3 linked regions of the Arabidopsis thaliana genome follow. The protein of the gene in region 1 interacts with the protein of each later gene in a pairwise test. Each region holds a gene or a part of one and is shown in the gene's direction. Other genes may lie near its edges.

Evidence for each region.
Region 2: the proteins of ERD15 (region 1) and MPC interact in a two-hybrid assay, tested with the Arabidopsis thaliana proteins (one study listed by BioGRID).
Region 3: the proteins of ERD15 (region 1) and PAB5 interact in a two-hybrid assay, tested with the Arabidopsis thaliana proteins (one study listed by BioGRID).

Annotation. Positions count from the first base shown.
Region 1 is NC_003071.7:17,266,586-17,272,829, forward strand, and holds ERD15 (dehydration-induced protein (ERD15)), read left to right. Parts: upstream 1-2,572; 5' UTR 2,573-2,817; exon of another isoform or gene 2,818-3,134; 5' UTR 3,135-3,150; coding exon 3,151-3,490; coding exon of another isoform or gene 3,491-3,513; exon of another isoform or gene 3,514-3,577; coding exon 3,578-3,729; 3' UTR 3,730-3,957; downstream 3,958-6,244. Other genes in the region: WIH2 (proline-rich family protein), read right to left, coding at 209-254, 893-1,097, 1,243-1,288; AT2G41440 (agamous-like MADS-box protein), read left to right, coding at 5,207-5,301, 5,531-5,582, 5,669-5,706, 5,783-5,879, 5,969-6,010. UniProt on the Arabidopsis thaliana protein: Central component of stress responses that interacts with poly(A)-binding proteins. Negative regulator of abscisic acid (ABA) responses, including resistance to drought and freezing as well as stomatal closure regulation.
Region 2 is NC_003074.8:6,702,760-6,708,546, forward strand, and holds MPC (maternally expressed pab C-terminal), read left to right. Parts: upstream 1-2,714; 5' UTR 2,715-2,766; coding exon 2,767-2,865; intron 2,866-2,957; coding exon 2,958-3,170; 3' UTR 3,171-3,368; downstream 3,369-5,787. Other genes in the region: AT3G19340 (aminopeptidase (DUF3754)), read right to left, coding at 1-99, 202-314, 432-503, 586-690, 784-897, 987-1,081, 1,213-1,312; AT3G19360 (Zinc finger (CCCH-type) family protein), read left to right, coding at 4,785-5,676.
Region 3 is NC_003070.9:26,988,206-26,996,983, reverse strand, and holds PAB5 (poly(A)-binding protein 5), read left to right. Parts: upstream 1-2,724; 5' UTR 2,725-2,881; intron 2,882-3,376; 5' UTR 3,377-3,494; coding exon 3,495-3,828; intron 3,829-3,997; coding exon 3,998-4,779; intron 4,780-4,874; coding exon 4,875-4,952; intron 4,953-5,046; coding exon 5,047-5,136; intron 5,137-5,236; coding exon 5,237-5,557; intron 5,558-5,665; coding exon 5,666-5,878; intron 5,879-5,976; coding exon 5,977-6,207; 3' UTR 6,208-6,459; downstream 6,460-8,778. Other genes in the region: CPB (Subunits of heterodimeric actin filament capping protein Capz superfamily), read right to left, coding at 1-115; AT1G71780 (WD repeat protein), read left to right, coding at 346-729, 1,369-1,578; AT1G71760 (uncharacterized protein), read right to left, coding at 6,485-6,729, 6,814-7,038, 7,117-7,423, 7,517-7,570; HGPT (Hypoxanthine-guanine phosphoribosyltransferase), read left to right, coding at 7,840-8,142, 8,482-8,646. UniProt on the Arabidopsis thaliana protein: Binds the poly(A) tail of mRNA. Appears to be an important mediator of the multiple roles of the poly(A) tail in mRNA biogenesis, stability and translation.

The DNA of each region.
Region 1 (6,244 bases):
ACATTCCCATAATCAAATACAAACTAAGGCAGAACGTCGATAGACAATAGTTAAAATGTTATGAACCGAAGAACATTACACATAAAACGAAAGAGAATCATCGAGAGATTCATTTTTAATGCCCCACAAATCAATTAAGGTTTTTGTTTAACCAAAACCCTCTTACAAATAAATCCCGAAGCTTTATGCAGAGAGAGAGAGACTCCAATCAGAAGCAAGCATCCAAGAGACAGCAACAACACAGAGCAGCAAGACTGCAAAAGCAAAAACAGTGTTTACATTTCACAATCAGTATTAAAAACAAATCCAGTTGCTTTAAGACATGCAATGTAGTAAGCAGTAGCTAGATCATGCAAACAATCAAATCCTAAAAGATGCACATTCATCAAAAACAACATCCGATTCACACTGTTAAGTAAAGCCATCAAAGAACAACAATTATCCTGTATTCAGTGAAGGAACAGAGAACACAAAAAGGATCCATCTTGCTAAGCCAATTTACTTATCAAAACTTGTACAAGTATAGTTTCAAGTACTCATAAACAGTTAAACACTACCAAACCAATAACGACAAGAACACAATCACAATTCTAGTTTCTTTAAAGCATGCAATGTTGTAGTAACCAGTAGCTAGATCATGCAAACATGTTAAATCCTAAAAGATGCAAATTCATTAAACACAACAACAATTGTCCTGTGATCAGTGAATGAACAGAGATCACAAAAAGTCAACCTCTACAGAGGAATATTCTAGCTAAAACCACATGACCTTTTGTTCAAAGAATCTCTAGAAGAAATATTTAAAATAAGGAATATAGTCAAATTCAAACTATACACAAAATCTAATTAGTAAAAACAGATTAAATATAATGGAGTGTGTTTATTGACTAACCATCCTTCTAGAAAGCCAGGACTGCTCTGTTGTTGCTGATGCTGCGGTGGTGGAGGATATTGAGGCGCGTACGGTGGAGGATATCCTTGCTGAGGATAACCTTGTTGAGGATATCCCTGAGGTGGATAGCCTTGCTGAGGATATCCCTGAGGAGGATATCCTTGTGGTGGATAAGCATCTTTTGGATATCCCTCCGGTGGATAACCTATTGATACAATTTCAGCACAAACAAAATTCAGATCCGTCGTACAAAAACAATAATCAGTACCAAATTAAGCAGATCTAAGAAAAAATTACAAATCTAAAAACCGAAACTTCTAAAAGTAATCGAAAATAGAAGGAAAGAGGACCTTGAGGAGGAGGAACACCAACGGGAGGTTGATTGTACTGGCTCATTGTTTCCTTTGAAGAAAAAGTGTAAACTTCGTAGAGAAGAAGGAGATCACGAACCTTAGATCGAAAAAGTTTATAGAAGCGATAGAGAAGGACAAGGAAAAGAGGAGAGTGTTTTAAGTATAACGCGTTTTGCAGTTATTTGATTTTTCTTGTTTTTATCCATAACTTTAGGCTAGCGTTCAATACGATGAATTAAAATGAAACTACCAATAAAAAAGGTTAAATTAAAACAAGATTCACGCGGTTTCTGCCTTTTGCAGCGATATTATTTCTGTTTTTTTTTTGTTTAATAGAACTTAATTAATTGGAGAACAAAGATTATTGATTGGTTGTTTATTCTGTTGTTTTTTCTAATGTTCTGTATGAAATCTAGTGATGCTTAATTTCTTTTTGTATCTTACTTCAAATTTCCTTAGAATATAGAAATTCATTTTGTTTTATCGAGTCGATTGACTTAAGACACATTACAACATATGATAAATAGATGTACACAATAGATAAAGTAAAAGTGTCTACATTCTAAACCCCACTTACCTACTTCCAATGTATACTAAAAAAGAGGAGATATTCATGTACATATATACATTTTAAGGTTTCCAATCTCTTGAAAAGGCTTGCTGAATCACATTGTGAAAGTAGCAATGGCCTGGACTTCACTACAACATTTTCCTTCCCGCCAATTACACATCGTTCTCTTTGAGCTACTTCATCTACTAGTTTTGCCACTGCTATTCTAAAACTGACCGTAAGTGGTTGATGCAAAGAAGAAAATATGATCAGTCATTCCGTTTTGCAACATAACAATGAAGCAGAAAATTATGTATGTTCATTTCGATAATCCTAGTTGTTCGACACCTTAATGATCTTGGTGTCCTTGTATAGATTACCTTAGAATTTGGTTCTTCATTGTCATTGGTTAGCTTTTCAAACTTGATGTCCTATAAAAATGCACATCTCAGACATTACGTAAATCCTAGAATCTACTTTTGGTACTTACACGATACAATACCGAAAACGTAAGTACCAAAAGTAGATTCTAGGATTAGGCCCAAAATGATGATGTAAAACAAAATCATGAGTGGGTTAGGCCCATACGGTCATAAATGGGCTTATATTGGATTAGTTTCCTCCTACCTTATCCTCTTTCCGACCAAATTTAAGATATTTTATAGAAAGAATAATAATTTAACTTTTTAGTGTGAGTAGCCAACAGGATTGGAACGAAAAAGAAAGTCAATAAAAGCCAACAGTAACGCGTCTACACGTGGACGGTTGATTACTCAGAACCATGTTAGCTATGGGTCCAGACCTACCCACTTGTGTCTCACCTTTAATCCTGCCTCGACGTTACGAACCCCAGCTTCGTCACCGAACCTTACTTTATATATTAGTCCTTCTTCTTCTCATCTTCTCGCAACGTAGGTTCTGGTGAATGATCCTAATCCGTTTAGCTTTTAAAAAAATAAGAAGACATATTTATCAACTTGATCAACTTGAGCAAGTTGCAGCAGATATTTTCCTCGGCCAAGGTAAAGATCTGATGTTGTCTTCTTCTCTACTCGATCAATTTCTATATTTGAAGTTCGTGGATTTTGAAGGATTTGATTGGTTTCCATGGTATTAGATCTCTGTGATGGTTGTTGATCTATCTTAAAACTTGATTTATCTTCAGTTCTCTCGATTTCAAACTTGTACTTGTCCTACTTCAAGTGATCTAATCGGAAACTTATTGTTGCTATGTTTACTGATCGTACAGATCTATTGATCTAAGGATTAAGCTATGTTGTGATTGAGTTGTTAGATTTGAATTTGAATTTGAACTGAGCTTGTTTGTTTGTGTGTGCAGATCTAGAGTTTTGAGAATGGCGATGGTATCAGGAAGACGATCTACTCTAAACCCCGACGCACCTCTTTTTATTCCGGCAGCTGTACGACAAGTGGAAGATTTCTCACCGGAGTGGTGGCAATTGGTGACAACTTCGACTTGGTACCCTGATTACTGGATCAGTCAGCAGCAGCAAGGCGCGGATGGTTTCTATGACAACGGAGAGAATGAGAATGGTGGAGGTCATATCGATGTAGCTGATCTTCTTCCAGAATCATTTGATTTTGATGATATGGAAGATTTCTTTGACACTGATGCTGCTGAGTTTGATCAAGGATTCGATGGAAGAATGTATTACCAAGCACCTTCCGAATTTGGTAAGTCGGTTTCATTCCCCTGATACATAGAACCATCCAAGATCAGTAGATTTGTGGAGGCTAATTGTTGTTTATATATATCATCAGGCTTTGGAAAGAATGGTGAGATGGTTAAGAAATCAAGTGGAAACAGGAGCCCGAGATCGATTGTGGAACCAGCTAAGTATGCGGAAAAGCCAGCGAAATGGGGAAACCAGAGGGTTGCTGCTGCTCCGAGAAACATCCACCAGCCTCGCTGAAGAGATATGTTGTTAACTAGTCAGAGAAGTCAGAGCAGTTCGGTCTGTGTATCTTTAGCCACCACTGTACCTTTGTAATTTTTAGTATTTGCTTCCACAACAAAAATCTGTAACTTTGTATCTTTATGATGTTCATTCTCAAACTTGCTATCACAAAAATGTAAAAACATAAAAAAAAAAAAATGTAAACTTTGAAGAGAAATGAGAACTAGAGTTTATTTCCTACCTTTGTCTGAGCAATTCTATTCAATTACCAAAAGTCTTATCCTGCATCGGTGATGGCTACCGGAAGCAGTTGCATCAATGTTGCTTTGGCTTTACGACCAAAAGAAAGCCATCGCAGAGCTCAAATATAGAAGGTTTTCACGTCTCAGCTACTGAAAATGATCAGTTCTCTAAAGACTAGAACTCTACAAGGTTGGTGGCTAAGAAAAGGATGTCGATTACATCATAATGCTAATACACGCAAAAGGTCAGGAGTGTCGAACATGTTTTAACTTGCAAACATTGCCGACGACACCAAGTTCATTTCGAGCTCGGAATTGAGATACCGAAGACATGTCCAAATTTAAACCGGACTTAGTAAATTCCCCATCAAAAATGGGGAAAATGAGACTTTTCTTTCGTTTGATGCGAAAACTCTCGTCTTGACTCTTGAAGCTTTGTTTTTTTGACTCCACAAGTCGTCGATTTGACATTCGAACAAATGATTAGTCAGACGATCAGAAACGCTCCAAAACGCAGCGCTTTGGCTAGAACAGAGCTTTAAGACACCTATGTTAATACGAAAATACCCTCTGATAAACTTATTTATACACTCGACGTTTCGTTTTTTTTTCCAGTTTTCTGAAAAGTAAATTATTTGAAATCCCGCTCTGAATTATTACAATGGCGCCAAAGAGAGCATCGCCGATGCAGTCTTCTCTGTACTCTATCGGTAAGAACTCGGAAAGCCCTTGATTTTATTCAGAAAACTCCGATCAATCAAATGAATCTTCGTGTGTTTTGATTCGATTTCTCCAGGTGATTACGAGGTTGCAGTGGATGGTAAGAATTTCACCTGTGAATCCGGACCCAAAAGCATTCAAATCAAATTTCCCAGAAACTACACAGTCAAAATCTCAGGTTCGTCTAGAATTTGGGTTCTTGCGGTTCTGTTTTTTTTCCACTCTAATTTGGTTGTTAGTCATTTTGGGCTCTATGATTTGATTATCTAATTCAATTTCATCTATTGATGTTATGCGGCTACTAGCAAAATGTGTAACAAACTCAATGTCCATAATTTTTCTTTTTGTGGTCAAACAACTCAATTTCCCTAAATTACTTTAGGAAATTTTCCATAATATTGGACCAAAAAAACTCCGTCTGTACTTTTTTTTTTTTTTTGGCAAAAAACTCCGTCTATACATGTAACAACAATCCTCGCAATTTCCAAAGTGGAAAAAAAGAAAAATTGGGTTTCGGTCGATCCGATTCGATGGGGAGAGAGGGCGATCAGATGAAGAGGAAGCGAAGAGATCTAACGAACAAGACGAGAGGGCCCTGCAATTTCTGCGAATTCTCCAGCAGCAGGTACTTGGCTCACAGATGGCAAACAAGGGTTCGATTTTCTAGGGTTTTCATTGTTGATTTAGGTCTTTGAAGTAATTTAGGATATGGGAACCATCACAAAATCTGCTTATTAGGTTTATTGATTAGCTATTTACTCGGCTTAGTTGGATCTCGGAATCTGAATCTGAATCTGAGGATATGATTGAATCAGACAATAAACTTAAACCTAAACCCCTTGGCCTTTTTCCAGATATGGATGCAGCTCTGAAGATAAGCTGCAGGAGCAAGACAATGAAGCAGTGGTATGTAATTACTTATGTACTCATATATCTATCTCTTTGTATGTTATACCTGTGTTTTTGCTTACATTCAACTTCTCTCCTTGCAGCTGCGGAAAGAAGTCGAGAGATTACGGCTTTTGATCAAGTATGCCTGCGTGCGTTTCCCACTTTCTTGTTCTGCATATTCATTTTGGTTGATGAGTTTTCTTTCATGATTCCAGGAGAATGACTGGGAAGGAAGATATTGTCAGCTTCACCGAGCTGCTAGCTCTTCAAAGTCACCTTATGGATGTCCGATCCATTGTGCTGGAGCAAAAGGTGAAATAGGGGGAAATATTACTTGACTTTTTTTTTTTGTTTCCGTGTCGTTATTATCAAGAATTTTCTTTAACTATTGGCTATTGCAGAAGGAGGTAGAGCTGGAAGAAGCTGAAAGGCCGCACAAACAGGTAAAGTATTCTAATTCTTAATTTAGCTGTCTTCTTTTTTTTTGCCCTGTATCCAAATTTTTTTTGTTGAGGAAAGTCAGTTTTACCCTTTCCAGTCTAAAATCTCTCACAAGGCCATTGCTTTTGCCTCTCCTTTTTTTCTTCTTAAAGTTCCTTGTTGACCTTGCAAGTTCTTAAGCTTTCTCACCTTTTACTTCTTTCTTTCTTTTTTCTGTCTTCTCGGGTAATTACGTA
Region 2 (5,787 bases), on another chromosome or scaffold:
TACAATTCATCATTATCTGTGTCAGGGTTTGGCTCATCATCTTTTTTGGGATCTTTCTTGTTAAGACTGCTTGACCTTTTGGCGCGTAATTTCTCTAACCTGTGATCTAAATGTGTTAAGACCCAACATGTAATCAAATGCCTAACTTTTTTTACTTGTATTGAACTTTAAGAAAGACTAGACTGGGAAACGTGTTCTAACCTGGTGATTCTCATGAGAAAGGACCAAAAACGTGAAATGATCACATCCAATTTCTCCATGAAAAAATAATCTGTGGTTTTATCCAATCCAATACCACGTCTGAAGATGACATACTATATAAGAAAAAGGGTAAATACTATATCAACACATGTCGCTACATGACCATCAAGAAAGTCTTTAGGAAACTATAATCTTGAAATGCTCATCTACAGACAAACTAAAAACTGTACCTTATCAGAAAAATCTGGAATATTTTCATGTGGATGCTCCTCAAAATACCTCTTGAGCAGCTTCTTGTCAAGCTTCATCCACCAAAAGCAAGAAAACTATTTTATAAGAATCCCGGCAACACACAAGCATTAGTGAAAGTTTGTTTAAACAAACCTTAGACTCATCAACTTTGATGGGAAGATTGAGAAGATACTGCCCAGAGTGTGCAACTTCCATCTCTTCATTACTTGTTATTTTAAAGTTGCTCTTCTCCATAACCTTTATAAGCGGGGGGAAAAAGAGGCACATTTCAAGAACAATGACATAGATAAATATAAGGGAGGAGATAATATCCTAATCAAAGAGAGTAACCTGAAACAAGTAAGCTAGGAAATTTTGTTCAAGGACATCAATCTCTTGAGAAGTTAAGTTCTGCTGCTGGATTTTCTGAGCACCGTGTACAGGATCAAACAGAGAGTATAGTTGCTGGAAATTCAAAAGCGCATGATAAATGAGAAAGCAAAGCAAAACAAGTTTGTAAAAGAGAGATTTTAAAAAGGAAAGAGGTTAGAGACCATGAGATCTTCAAATTGAAGAAGATACCAAGCTCGAACAGTGTACTCAATTCTCTTACATAGCTTAAGGAACTCTTGTCTATCATTGCTATGTTCTGCAAAAACACAATTTATCCGACCAAATTTGTAACCAAACAGAGAAAGGGCCAACGATTGTGAAAAAAGCAAAATTTGGGATTTGGGTTCAAAACCCGAGAACAGGGAAGAAGAAATTGGAGAAACTGACCAATGAGATTAGCCAAGGTCATGATGAGTTTAGGTTTGAGGATAGGGATGACCGATTCGGGCTCAAGACGAATCACTTCCTTATTGTGTTGTTCCGCCATTTCAAAAGGATCGAATTTTTGGGAAATCAGAAACAAAGGAGGAAGAAGAAAGAAGAAGAAGAAGAAGAAGAAGCGTAACGGACCCTGAGGAGGAACAAAACTGAAGCGTTCCAATGAGTTAATGTCGTTGAACTCGACCAACGAATCATCAGCCCAATGCTTTTTTCTATTTCTTGCTTCTTCTCCTTTTTTTTATTATAAATAATAATAATAATCAAATAATGTGATTTTTATTCTTTATGTTATGTCTTAAGTCTAATCTTCTGGTTGATCCTCCAATCATTGTATAACATAAGCTTCCTATATCATAATACATCAGCCTCTGTTTCTCTTAAAAAAAAATCATGTAGAGAGTACTTAAACAAATTCCTTGCCGACATTCAAAAGAAGAATAATTTCAGACCAATACCAATGTTGTGACTTGTAGTAATGTTAAAAGACCAACAAGGTAGGTAGGTCCTCTCACTTATTCAATCTCCCACAATATTATTATCTCTCTCATATAGCCAAAACCCAAACAGTGCTTCTGTCTCTCGTGTGTTTCCTATTTCGTTTATATGGGCTATATAAATTAGGCCCATGACATTATATGGGCTTTCACATCCAACTAAATGGATTATGGATTCATAGCGCGTGTGTTCACTGTCTCCTTTTAAACGCGTGGTTAGATCAAAGTCTCTCAGATTTCTTACCTTCTCTTTTAAAAATGCAAAAGATTTCTTACCTTTTCTTTTTTTGTGCAAAAGATTTCTTACCTTACAAAATTAAAATAGATACAGAGAATGTTGACTTGGTGAGGATGGAGGACACGTGTCAGTTTTTGATTGAGTAAGCTATTACTCTCCTAGATTTCTTTCTATTCCAATGTATAAATTTGTAACAAACATTGGATTTTGTCAAAAGTACCACATTTTCGATTTTTGTATATTGTAAATTGTGAAATTTTCAATATTTTTATTTTAAAAATCTAATTTTAAAATTCATGCACATTAGTTTGTCCCAAAAAAATAAAAAATAAAAGCTCATGCATTATAAGCCAATCACACTACCTTGTAATGTTAATTCTAAGAGTTAGATAATTTTGTTATTTGTAGATATACAAAACAAATGATTAAAAATACATTTAGTAAATTTTGCATTGTTCAACATACGTGCTAACATATAGCCATTGTTTTTCGACAAATCTAAAACCAAAATTTTATACTATTTACATAGAAAAAAAAAATAGGCATACGGTGTTATATCATTTTTGTTTTAGCTATATTATAGCGCGTGGTTCACACACATGATCTAAAGAGCGTGTTGAATCCCCAATTATTAAAAAGAAAGAATATTGGCATTTACCTAGATATTTTGTTTTGGTTTTGTTATATATAGCACATGAAATCTTATTCATCAAAACACTAAATTTTGTTTCTTCTCTCAAATATATCGTCGTCTTCATTGCTTAAGTCATGAATCGTTTATGCTTTTTTAACAAAGTTGTAAAAGTTGCCCGTGGTGATTCACCTCCTTTTGATCTTGCTTCTTTACCTCCCAAAGAACAACGAGATGTAAAATTGATTTTGCTTACTTTAAGATTGCAGCTACTTACAAATATAGTTTATGTTATCTTTATATGACCTAAATTTCTCTTTTTTTGTAGTTGATTGGTGAAACTTTGTTCTTTATGGTGGAAGAACTTGAGCCACAGTTTGCACCAAAAATCACAGGAATGATTCTTGAATTGGACCAAGACAAGGTCCTTCATCTGCTGGTAACACCTAAAGCCTTCAAAGAAATGGTCAAAGAGGCAATGGAGGTCCTAGCGCACTCCTTTCTGCAACAGATGAAAATTGCTAGGGGAAAAAGATGTTAGCAAGTTCCTACCTTCCATGCTCCCCGCTAAACTTTGAAATGTTTGTTTGGTTTTTGTTCATTAATATGAGCAACAAAATGTGGCTTTAAGTTGAGTTTTAAATCTTTGTTTTCATTTAAAAAAAAAAAAATCATATGTTAGTGTATCCAAATGTTTTAAGACAATAATAAAAATAAAATAAGTTCTGCTTCGTCCAAATAATTACTAGAGTGGTTATAACTGATGTTTTAGTTAAGTTGAATTTTTAATTTGTAAACAATGTATCCCTTAGTAATATCTAAACTTCTTTCTTTCATATTTAATCTTACTTATATTAAAATATATATATATATATTTATATTCTATTAAATAAGAAAAAAATATATATACATATATATAATAGTAATAATTTATGTTGATTTCAACTATATCGATAATGTAAAGCATGACTAAACACTAAATAAATGATATTTTTAGTAGCCCGTAAGATATTTTTATTATCATGTATTCAAAAAGTTTTAATCCAAACATATTTATTTAAATATTTAGATTTATTTTACTTTGTATGATGTAAGTAGATAATGTTTAGTTTTTATTTTACTTTGTATGATGTAAGTAGATAATATTTAGTTTTTACCAACCAATCTTTTTAGTTGCTAGTTTTTTACCAACCATATATACCCTCTATCCTTTTTGTATTTATATCTTTTAGGATAAAAGGCTAATAATAGTTTGATTTACTTTGTTAACATATCTATCATATACATCAAGTGTTGCTTCAAAACATAAAACCAAGACATGGAATTTTATAATTTATACTAGTATTCTCGTTGTATCATAACTTATATTTAAATTTGTGTTTGTTGTAAACAATCGAAAAGCATATAGAATTCGTATATATTTTATAATAATAAAGAAAAGGAAAAAACAAAATCGAGACAAATGAATAATAATCATGAAAAAATGTTTTTCATATGTTCTTATATATTTTCAATTTGATAAATACCGAATAAATGTTTCAAAGTAATTTGACTTTTTAAGTCAAATAAAATCTCTAAATTATAACAGTGAATCACAATAGACCAAATCAATCATAGCAAATAGATATGATTTATGAAAAAATGAGAACCTAAGTTTTAATGTTATACGATATAATTAGATAATTTAAAATATATGCATAATATACATATACTATTATTTTTATTTAATGTGTTGAAGGATACAAAATTATTAAAACCATAGCGATTACGTAATTTATTCACTATTCATCAGTTTCTTAATCCAAAAGAAAAAAAAGAAGAAGATAAAGAGGTATTTATATATCAGATGTTCAAAAACCCTAAATCGCGTTTCTTCTCTCAAATCTGCCGCCGCCATCATTGATCCAGGTATTGCTCTAACCTTGACTCTTCACGTCATTCGCATATTACTCTCCTCCTCGCTGATCCATTCGAATTCTGCACTCAAATCGTGTTTTTGTACATCATAGTTTCAAGCATTATGATTCTCTCTAGCCAATGACTTTTCTTGCGATTGAATCCTTTTGCAGTCTCGTTATCAAAAGTTGAAGAATTTAGTTTAGTTTGGTTGTGTAGATAAGATTTGTAATCGCAAAATTCGATCTTTGTTACAGTTATGGATTCGAGTTACTCTGATTCTCGTCCCATGTTCGTGCAATCACCTTATGGTGGTTGGAATCAAACACAGATGATTGATTCAATGGCTAATCCAATGAACAATGAACAAGGAGACTTGCATTCACTATCTGAATCACAATCACAATCTCAACCGTCTCAGCAATTACAGCCTGCATTGAAAAGGCCTAGACTTGTTGATGATAACTTGTTTAATCCTGCTTCGTCGTTTCCTCAGCCTTCGAGTAGCAATCCTTGGATGGTTCCATCTTTGAACCCTCCTCCTGTGAACAAAGGGACTGCTAATATATTCTATAAGACTAGAATGTGTGCTAAATTCAGGGCAGGGACTTGTAGGAATGGTGAACTCTGTAATTTTGCTCATGGGATTGAGGATTTGAGGCAGCCTCCGTCGAATTGGCAGGAAATTGTTGGACCTCCTCCTGCTGGTCAAGACAGGGAGAGGGAGAGAGAGAGGGAAAGGGAGAGGGAAAGACCGTCTTTGGCGCCTGTTGTGAATAATAATTGGGAAGATGATCAGAAGATAATCTTGAGGATGAAGCTTTGTAGGAAGTTTTGTTTTGGGGAAGAGTGTCCTTATGGGGACAGGTGCAATTTTATTCATGAGGATCTGTCAAAGTTTCGTGAGGACTCGGGGAAGTTGAGAGAGAGCTCGGTTATAAGTGTTGGTGCTACTGCTGCTGATCAACCATCTGATACTGCTTCTAATCTTATTGAAGTAAATAGACAAGGAAGCATCCCGGTACCTGCACCTATGAACAATGGTGGTGTTGTCAAGACTGTGTACTGGAAGACGAGGTTGTGCATGAAGTTTGACATCACGGGTCAATGTCCTTTTGGCGATAAGTGTCACTTTGCTCATGGCCAAGCAGGTATGTTATATGTTGAACATGTATCTTTGCTAATGCGACCTTATATTATAGTATCCTAGTATAGATTTGCAAGTTCTGTGTATACAGGCTATCTCTGAATTCTCTTCTTTT
Region 3 (8,778 bases), on another chromosome or scaffold:
CGACTTGAGAGAGAAGATCGGAAGAATGTTGAGGAATGAGGCTTAGAAGAGCAGATAGAGCCGTCTCCGACTGCTTCGGCGGCATTCTCCGGAGAAGTCCCAAAGCTGCCTCCATTTTTTTCCAACCTCGCCGGAGAAAAAAAACACTTCTCCTCTGAGAAGACGAACTAAAAGGTAACAACCGAATAACCAATCTCTTATTGTCTATTATACCCTTTAGGCCCATCATAAGGCCCAAACATTACGAGGCCTTTTACTAAGCGACGTCGTTATGAACAGAATATTTATTTTTTGCTTTCCTGGGATTATAAATCTTTTTTTCCATCGGACGGTGAATTGTTAGTCATGTCATCGATGACGGAGAAGGAGAAGGAGAGAGATCCACCACCACCACATCAAGAGATTGAAGAGACTACTCCGTTGCTCGAAAATTCTCAACCGGAAAGTGAATTGAGATCGACGACCGCGGCGGCGAAGGTTCCTGAGGTGGAGATTCATCTGTATAAGTGTGGAAAAGGTCCGATCGATGTGTTCAAGTCAAATCTCGGCGGTTATGAGCAGGATCAGCTCGAGGTTCGATCTATTCTTGAGAAATATGGCTTGAAAGCAATCTTCGCTTTCAACGTTGAGAAAGGTCGTGCTGTTCCGATCAGATTTCACCCTAGGAATGGTCGGTCTGTGTTGCCTTATAGGGATGGTGCCGTCATTTACATCGACGGTGAACCTCAGGTAATCTGATTGTTTTGATTTTGAGTTTTCACTTACGCAATAGGAAAAAAGGACAGAGAACGATCTCCTTAGCTTAGTTATAGTTCCCTACTGATGCTTGAATGAATAAACTCACGGTGAATATTGTTGCATTGCATCTGTTGGACCTTCTCTGAACGCATGATTAAGGAATAGGATAGGACCCAATCTGCTTCTTGTCTCCTTTACATGTTCTTCATACCCTTGGATTGTAGAATTACTCTACATTGGCGTTCTGCATTTAGATAAGTTGATGGTTTTCTTTTGATTGTGCTCATAAACCTCATACATGTCTCTAGACTTTCTAGGCTTCTTTACTCTTCAATTGCCCTGGAATATCAATTAACGTGGATTCGGTGTCTCATGGAACCTTAGGTTTAGGTCAAAGCTTGTATTCTTACTTAAAGTAAACAATTTCTTGGAATCACTCCTATGGCTCATAGATTTAGAATACGCATGTAGAAACTAGAATGGATGTCATGGTATTCTGACTTCGTTGGGGCGTAAAAAGTCTTTGGATAATATTGTTGCAAGAACAGAAAAAAAAAGCATTAAAACATGCAGCTTTAATTGGGTGATTCATCTGATAACACTATTAATTTGAACACCTTTTGTTTTCAGGATTCCCTGCTCAAACCCATCACCAGAATCATTCTCGGAGTTGTGATTGTTACGCTCTTAATAACATTTCTATTGAAAGACCCTCCAGCTTGGATCAAGAACAACATCTCCATTGGGACCTTTCCTCCATGGGTGCTCGCATGCATAGTTATAGTTTTCACTCGAGCTAGAAAGAGAACCAGGGACTTCTTCAAGAAGTATGGCTGGTAGTTTCGCAGACCCTAACACTCGTCTCGCTTAAAATGTGGTCGAAATTTGTAGTCTTTCATCGACCATATATATAGAGGTTCTCTTGCCTTAACCCAACAAGTTCCCTTCCTTGGCAAGACTCTTCGTCTTTGATACGCCTTGAGGCGCCAAATTGCTTGCTTTCAGAACTAAGAGAGAGCAATCATTTTCTTCATTTGCATTTTGTTGAAGTTTATAGTTTTATGCATTTCCATGTGTAATGCGATTTGGTTTTTGCCATTTTGATGGAAACTGATACTTATTTTCTAAAACCCAATAGTTTGGCAACAAGCCTGTCCATATTTAATCTCTACATTCCTCCCTGATAATATGAAAATTTAGTCTTGTAACGCATGACATGCTCAGTTTCGTACATATGTCAGATAGTGTTTCAGAAATATCTAAAATGAATGACAACATCACCCATATCGAACTTACTTTTTGGTGGTAGAAAATATTTAGTCGACTAGAGTCTGACATTTTACTCTATTAATCACGAGTACTTAGCAATCTCTGTTCAATAGATTTCAACTGTTGTATTTATTGATGATGGAATTTTTTAAAGATCAAAATTGTCTCATCCACAAAATATTGTCCATGAATTCTATAGATTAGCCTTGTGGCATACCAAAAATCTGTCTCATGTTTTAAACAATTCTATGGAAATATGTTGATATTGATTTAATGTATAAAATTGAGTTTATCGCGGCTGCGTTGACGTTGCTGATAACATCCTGCTTGACACTATCTGGAATTCCTAATTTACTAAGAATTTTGATGATTTTAATAATATTATTGAAAGTGAATAAATGAAAGATTCTAAACTATTGTAGATGTTATTAGTTTAGAATTTGTAAAAAGTAATATAAAATCTTCATAAATCTGAAGTTATTTGATTTATATTTTTATAAAATTATTAAATATTTTGCGTTATTCAATTAAAACAAAATAATCTATGATTGTTAATGAATTAAATTATTCTGTTAATGGTTTATGATTTTTTACATTTTTCTTCACAAAATAAAATCATGAAAGTATCATCAAAATCGAGAGATTGTTTAAATTTTTTTACGAGATTGTGAAAAACAAATCAACAAGATTATAAAAAACTCTCTAGCAATAGTTTATAATCTTTCATTTATTTACTTTCTATGATATTATTAAAGTCATCAAAATTTCGTGTAAATTATGAACCAATAAAGCCTCTTTTAACAAAAAAAACAGACATGACGATAACAACAAAATAATTAAGAAGGAGAAGTAGACGGAAAAAAAAAAAAAAAAAGTAGAGTAATAAGATGTTAAGAAAAAACATAAATATCTATGTGGCACTAGATCTCATCTATAAGACGTTAGTCGTAGTTTTTTGCGAGTATATGAAGAGCAGACTTAACAGATTCATTCGGTTGCGGCTTCCGTTTAGAACGCATGATCCCTTCTACTTCTTCGTCAAAATTGTGTTCAGTTTTCTTTATTTGTTTTAATGATTGTTGTATTTGGATGGTTATATATCATATAAATTTAAATTTTTATAATATAATATAATTGATTATCATTAAAAAAAAAACATGTGGCATTGGATTATTGGCCAGGACAGAAAAAGCCCATTGGCCCACAAAAAGATCCCAGATGTGAATTAAAAAGCTGAGTCAAAACTCAAAAGCCACGTCAAATCAAACTCTGATCCGTAGGGACCGGTTGGTTAGCGAATGTATAAATACCAACTCTCATTCTTTCACACCCTTTCGAGTCTCTCTACTCCTCTTCTTATTCACCGGAGTAACCCAAAAAAAAAAAGGAAAAAATATAAAAATAAATATTCTCCCCTAAAAATTTTGGAAAACCACAAACAGAAATCTCTCTGTCTCACCCTAGAAAAACCTAGAAATCTTATCGCTATGGCTGCGGCGGTTGCATCTGGAATTGCCCCGACGACGGCCATGGTTGATCAAGTGATCCCTAATCAACCCACGGTTGCTGCTGCTGCTCCTCCTCCTTTCCCTGCCGTGAGTCAGGTTGCGGCGGTTGCTGCTGCTGCTGCTGCCGCGGAGGCTTTGCAAACCCATCCAAACTCGTCTCTCTATGTCGGAGATTTAGATCCGAGTGTCAATGAGTCACATCTCTTGGATCTCTTTAATCAAGTTGCTCCAGTTCACAATCTTAGGGTTTGTCGTGATCTGACTCATCGTTCTCTTGGTTACGCTTACGTCAATTTCGCTAACCCTGAAGATGGTAAATATTATAAACAATCATACAGGAATTTAATATTATTATTATGGATTACGACAGGAATATAATATTGTTCATGTGTTTGCTTTTGTGGTTTTGTTCTTTTTGCTGTTTTGTTTTGTTTTGTTTTGCTGTTTTGTAATTAAAGTTTTGTGTTTTTTTATTGGATCAGCGAGTCGTGCGATGGAAAGTCTCAACTATGCTCCGATCAGAGACAGGCCTATAAGGATCATGCTCTCTAATCGTGATCCGAGCACTAGATTGAGTGGGAAAGGCAATGTTTTCATCAAAAACCTTGATGCATCGATTGATAACAAAGCTTTGTATGAAACTTTCTCGTCTTTCGGGACGATTCTCTCTTGCAAGGTTGCAATGGATGTGGTGGGACGTTCGAAAGGATATGGCTTTGTCCAGTTTGAGAAAGAGGAAACCGCTCAGGCTGCTATTGACAAGCTTAATGGTATGTTGCTTAATGATAAGCAAGTCTTTGTTGGCCATTTTGTCCGTCGTCAAGACAGGGCACGTAGTGAGAGTGGTGCGGTGCCGAGCTTCACTAACGTTTATGTTAAGAATCTTCCTAAGGAGATTACTGATGATGAGCTTAAGAAGACTTTTGGGAAATATGGAGATATTTCTAGTGCGGTTGTGATGAAGGATCAGAGTGGGAACTCGAGGTCTTTCGGGTTTGTCAACTTTGTGAGCCCTGAAGCTGCTGCAGTTGCTGTTGAAAAGATGAACGGTATCAGCCTTGGGGAGGATGTGTTGTATGTTGGTAGGGCACAGAAGAAGTCTGATAGGGAAGAGGAATTGAGGAGGAAGTTTGAGCAAGAGAGGATAAGCAGGTTTGAGAAATTGCAAGGATCGAATCTGTATTTGAAGAACCTTGATGATAGTGTGAATGATGAGAAGCTCAAGGAGATGTTCTCTGAGTATGGGAATGTGACTTCCTGCAAGGTTTGTTTCTGATTCTAAACATCTCTAAACTTTATACATAAGTTTATACCACACAATATAATGAATTAAAATGTTTTGTTTGTGGTCATAATTAGGTTATGATGAATTCACAAGGTTTAAGCAGAGGTTTTGGTTTTGTTGCTTACTCCAATCCTGAAGAAGCTTTATTAGCTGTAAGTTTCAACTGAATTGACAATCTTTTTACATATACATAAATGTTTTATAAAATTGGTACTAAAATGTTCATTGGGGTTGATGATTACGCAGATGAAAGAAATGAATGGGAAGATGATAGGAAGGAAACCTCTTTACGTTGCTTTGGCACAACGTAAGGAAGAAAGACAGGCTCACCTTCAGGTTCTTTTTAGCCCTCTCACTCTTTGAACATCAAACTCTGTACTGTGTTGTGTTGTGACACTGAGTTCTTAAACTGTCTTGATGTTTTCACGTGTTTCAGAGTCTATTTACTCAAATCAGATCACCTGGAACAATGTCACCAGTTCCATCACCGATGTCTGGGTTCCATCATCACCCACCAGGTGGGCCAATGTCAGGACCACACCATCCAATGTTCATAGGCCATAACGGTCAAGGTTTGGTACCTTCACAGCCTATGGGGTATGGGTACCAAGTTCAGTTCATGCCTGGGATGCGTCCAGGTGCAGGCCCGCCTAACTTCATGATGCCTTTCCCTCTTCAAAGGCAAACTCAGCCTGGCCCTCGTGTTGGGTTCAGGCGTGGTGCTAATAACATGCAGCAGCAGTTTCAGCAACAACAAGTAAAGTTTTTATCATTAGTTCTTATGTCTTTTAGCAAGTTTATTATCTTTAACACAATCATACGAATATGAATTTGTTGGGGCTTGTTATTATCTTGGAACTGTCAGATGCTGCAGCAAAATGCAAGCAGATTCATGGGAGGCGCAGGCAACAGGAGGAATGGAATGGAAGCATCTGCTCCACAAGGCATCATCCCTTTGCCATTGAATGCATCTGCAAACTCTCACAATGCTCCGCAACGCTCTCACAAGCCAACTCCCCTCACCATTTCTAAGCTCGCATCTGATTTGGCTTTGGCTAGCCCCGACAAACACCCACGGGTTAGTGATCTCCTGTGTTTTCTTCTCTTATCTCATTTAGTACTTGCATTATAACCTATATTTGTTAACAATATCATTGCATTGTGAATTGATGACAGATGCTTGGGGATCATCTTTACCCACTTGTGGAGCAGCAGGAGCCAGCAAATGCTGCTAAAGTTACCGGGATGTTGCTGGAGATGGATCAAGCTGAGATTTTGCACCTTCTTGAGTCACCTGAAGCTCTTAAGGCTAAAGTGTCCGAGGCTCTGGATGTTCTCAGACGCTCTGCTGATCCAGCAGCTGTGTCATCTGTTGATGACCAGTTTGCTCTATCCTCATCCGAGTGAACATACTGTTTACTCAAGACTATGTTTCTCTCGCTTTCTTAGACAGTTGCTTTAATACCTTTTAGGACCTTTAAAACTAGCTTTTTCTTTTCTACATCTCTTTGATAGATTGTTTTGAGTTTTTCCCTTAGCATTGAGACTTTTACTCTTTAGCACTTTCTCTAGTTTCGTTAGGAGTCTATTTAATGTGTCAACTCTTTTGCAACTCCAAATTCGTTTCAGAAACTTTACATTTAGCATTTTATCTAATAATCGGCATTCTGGTTAAACATTCTGATCACATGAAATCTGGATGTACCTCGTCGTCTACTATCTGATATTCCGTATTTATCTCCATTACTGCTCTGTCCCATCCTCCTACTTCGTCATCCTTCAAGGCCTTTTTAACACCAAATCGCGGTGGTGCTTGGTGTTCTCCTTCGTCATCGATTAAGTAGGCGTCCCATTTCGAAGCTGGCTTAGTAACTCTTTCTGACTCTAGATTCCTCTCTTCCATATCCTTCTTCCTCGTCACTACTTCATCTGCAACACATTTGAAGGATAGGAGAATATTGTTTTAGTAAAACCATTCAGGCCTTTAATAAACAACATTCGCAACGGCTTTACTTGAACTAAACGCTGATATATGGCCAACATATGTAGCAGAACTCCTCTTACCGGATCGAAAATCCGGCTTTTTGATGCTGCGTCTGGAGAAAGAAGGCTTGAAGATCTCATTACTGTCTTTATTCTCACCTCCTGTATTTGATGATGATCCACCAGCATTAGACTCTTTGTTCAGCTTTGGCCTTTTGAACATATTGCTTGGCATCTCAGTGACAATCTTCACATCTGCAACAAAATCGCAAAACCAAGTACATATTTATCTATTTTGTCTCATAAGATGCTTGATTCTCGAATTAGACTCACCGTCTTCTTCTCCAGCTAATCTCCGGCGATCATTTACTGAATCGAAATCGAGGTATTGACTCCAATCAGATCGCTTCTTCGTTCCATTAACCTCCTCATTAACCTCTCCTTCAACATAAACCTCTGGAAACGAATCTCCAACAGCATGTGCCTCTTCATCGGCAACTTTGCGAGACATATTAAACGATTGGACAAAGAAACGAAGCTCCTTAGCCTTATAACCTTGAGCAAACACCTTTTTCACTGATTGCTTCTGATTGCATATCACACAAACCCACTTGTTACTACTTTTCTTCTTCTGCTTCACCTGCGAATTCGAACCCCAAAACAAAATCCCTAAAAACTAACCAATATATAAATTGACAGAGATAGAAGAGGAGGGAGCGAGAGAGTTTAATACCTGCATAGTTGAACACTCGTAACATTGGAGAGCGATGAAGAGAGTACTCGCCATTTTTTCTCCTTCTCCTTCTTCGTCTTCGTCGTCTGCTCTCTAGGGATTTCGATTTTGTGTTTTCGATTTCGTTCTAGCGCCAATTTGATATACTTCAAAAAATTTGGCAATTCCAAATTATTTTGTACCGGGTCTGTTTAACAGAAGACGGTAAATAGTTTCGGTTAGTTTCGGTTAAGCTCCCGCGTTTTTTTACAATAGCAATTAGAATCAAACCCTAAAAACCCAAATCAAAAAGCTTCGTTGTGGAGGTAAGTAGGAGGAAGACGATGGCGTTAGAGAAGCACATAGAGAAGGTACTCTTCAGCGATGAAGTAATTGCGCACCGGGTGAATCAGCTTGGAATCGATATTACTTCTGATTTCTCCGGTGACTCGGAGGAAACTCCTATTTTTGTCGGCGTAGCCACTGGTGCTTGCCTCTTCTTGGCCGATCTCGTTAGGCGAATTGACTTGCCAATAGCTATAGATTTCATTAGAGCTGAGTCTTACGGCTCTGGTACTGTATCCAGTGGAGTTCCCAGAGTATCATTTGACTTAAAGCTTGACATCACGAACAAGCACGTTGTCTTGGTAATCTCCATCTCTTTATGCGTGATGGATCTGGATTTGGGTAATATGTGTTTTGCATCAGTTTTGATTCAGTTTCTTTAGCAATTGAGTTTTAGTATTCATTTGAATTTCATGAAGTTTGAGTCTTTACAGCTTAAAATTGATATGTTGGTTTCTGAGTTTTAACGTTTGAAGAACACTTGTGATATGCAAAAATGTGATGAATATATTAGAAAGGAGACCACACTGAATCACTGATGCTTCACATTCTCATTTGATAATGTCTTGGTAATTATTTTACTCTTAAGCATTCGAAATTTCACTACTTTTTATATTCACTAGTTATGTGTTTTCTTAAAGGTCGAGGACATTGTGGATACTGGCAATACACTTAGCTGCCTGATTGAGCACATGAAAGCAAAAAAGGCGTCATCTGTTTCGGTTTGCACTCTCCTCGACAAGCCATCGAGAAGAAAGGTTCATTATAAGCTGGTTGGAAAGGGGAAATTCTACAGTGGTTTTGAAGTAAGCTGTTTCTTGTTTCTCTCTGTTCAATATATGTATTATCATTATACGTCTGTCTAAGGCCTTTGGAATGTTTAAGCCACCTTAACCAGAGTATACAGCTATTTATAGAATAGGTGAGACCATGACATT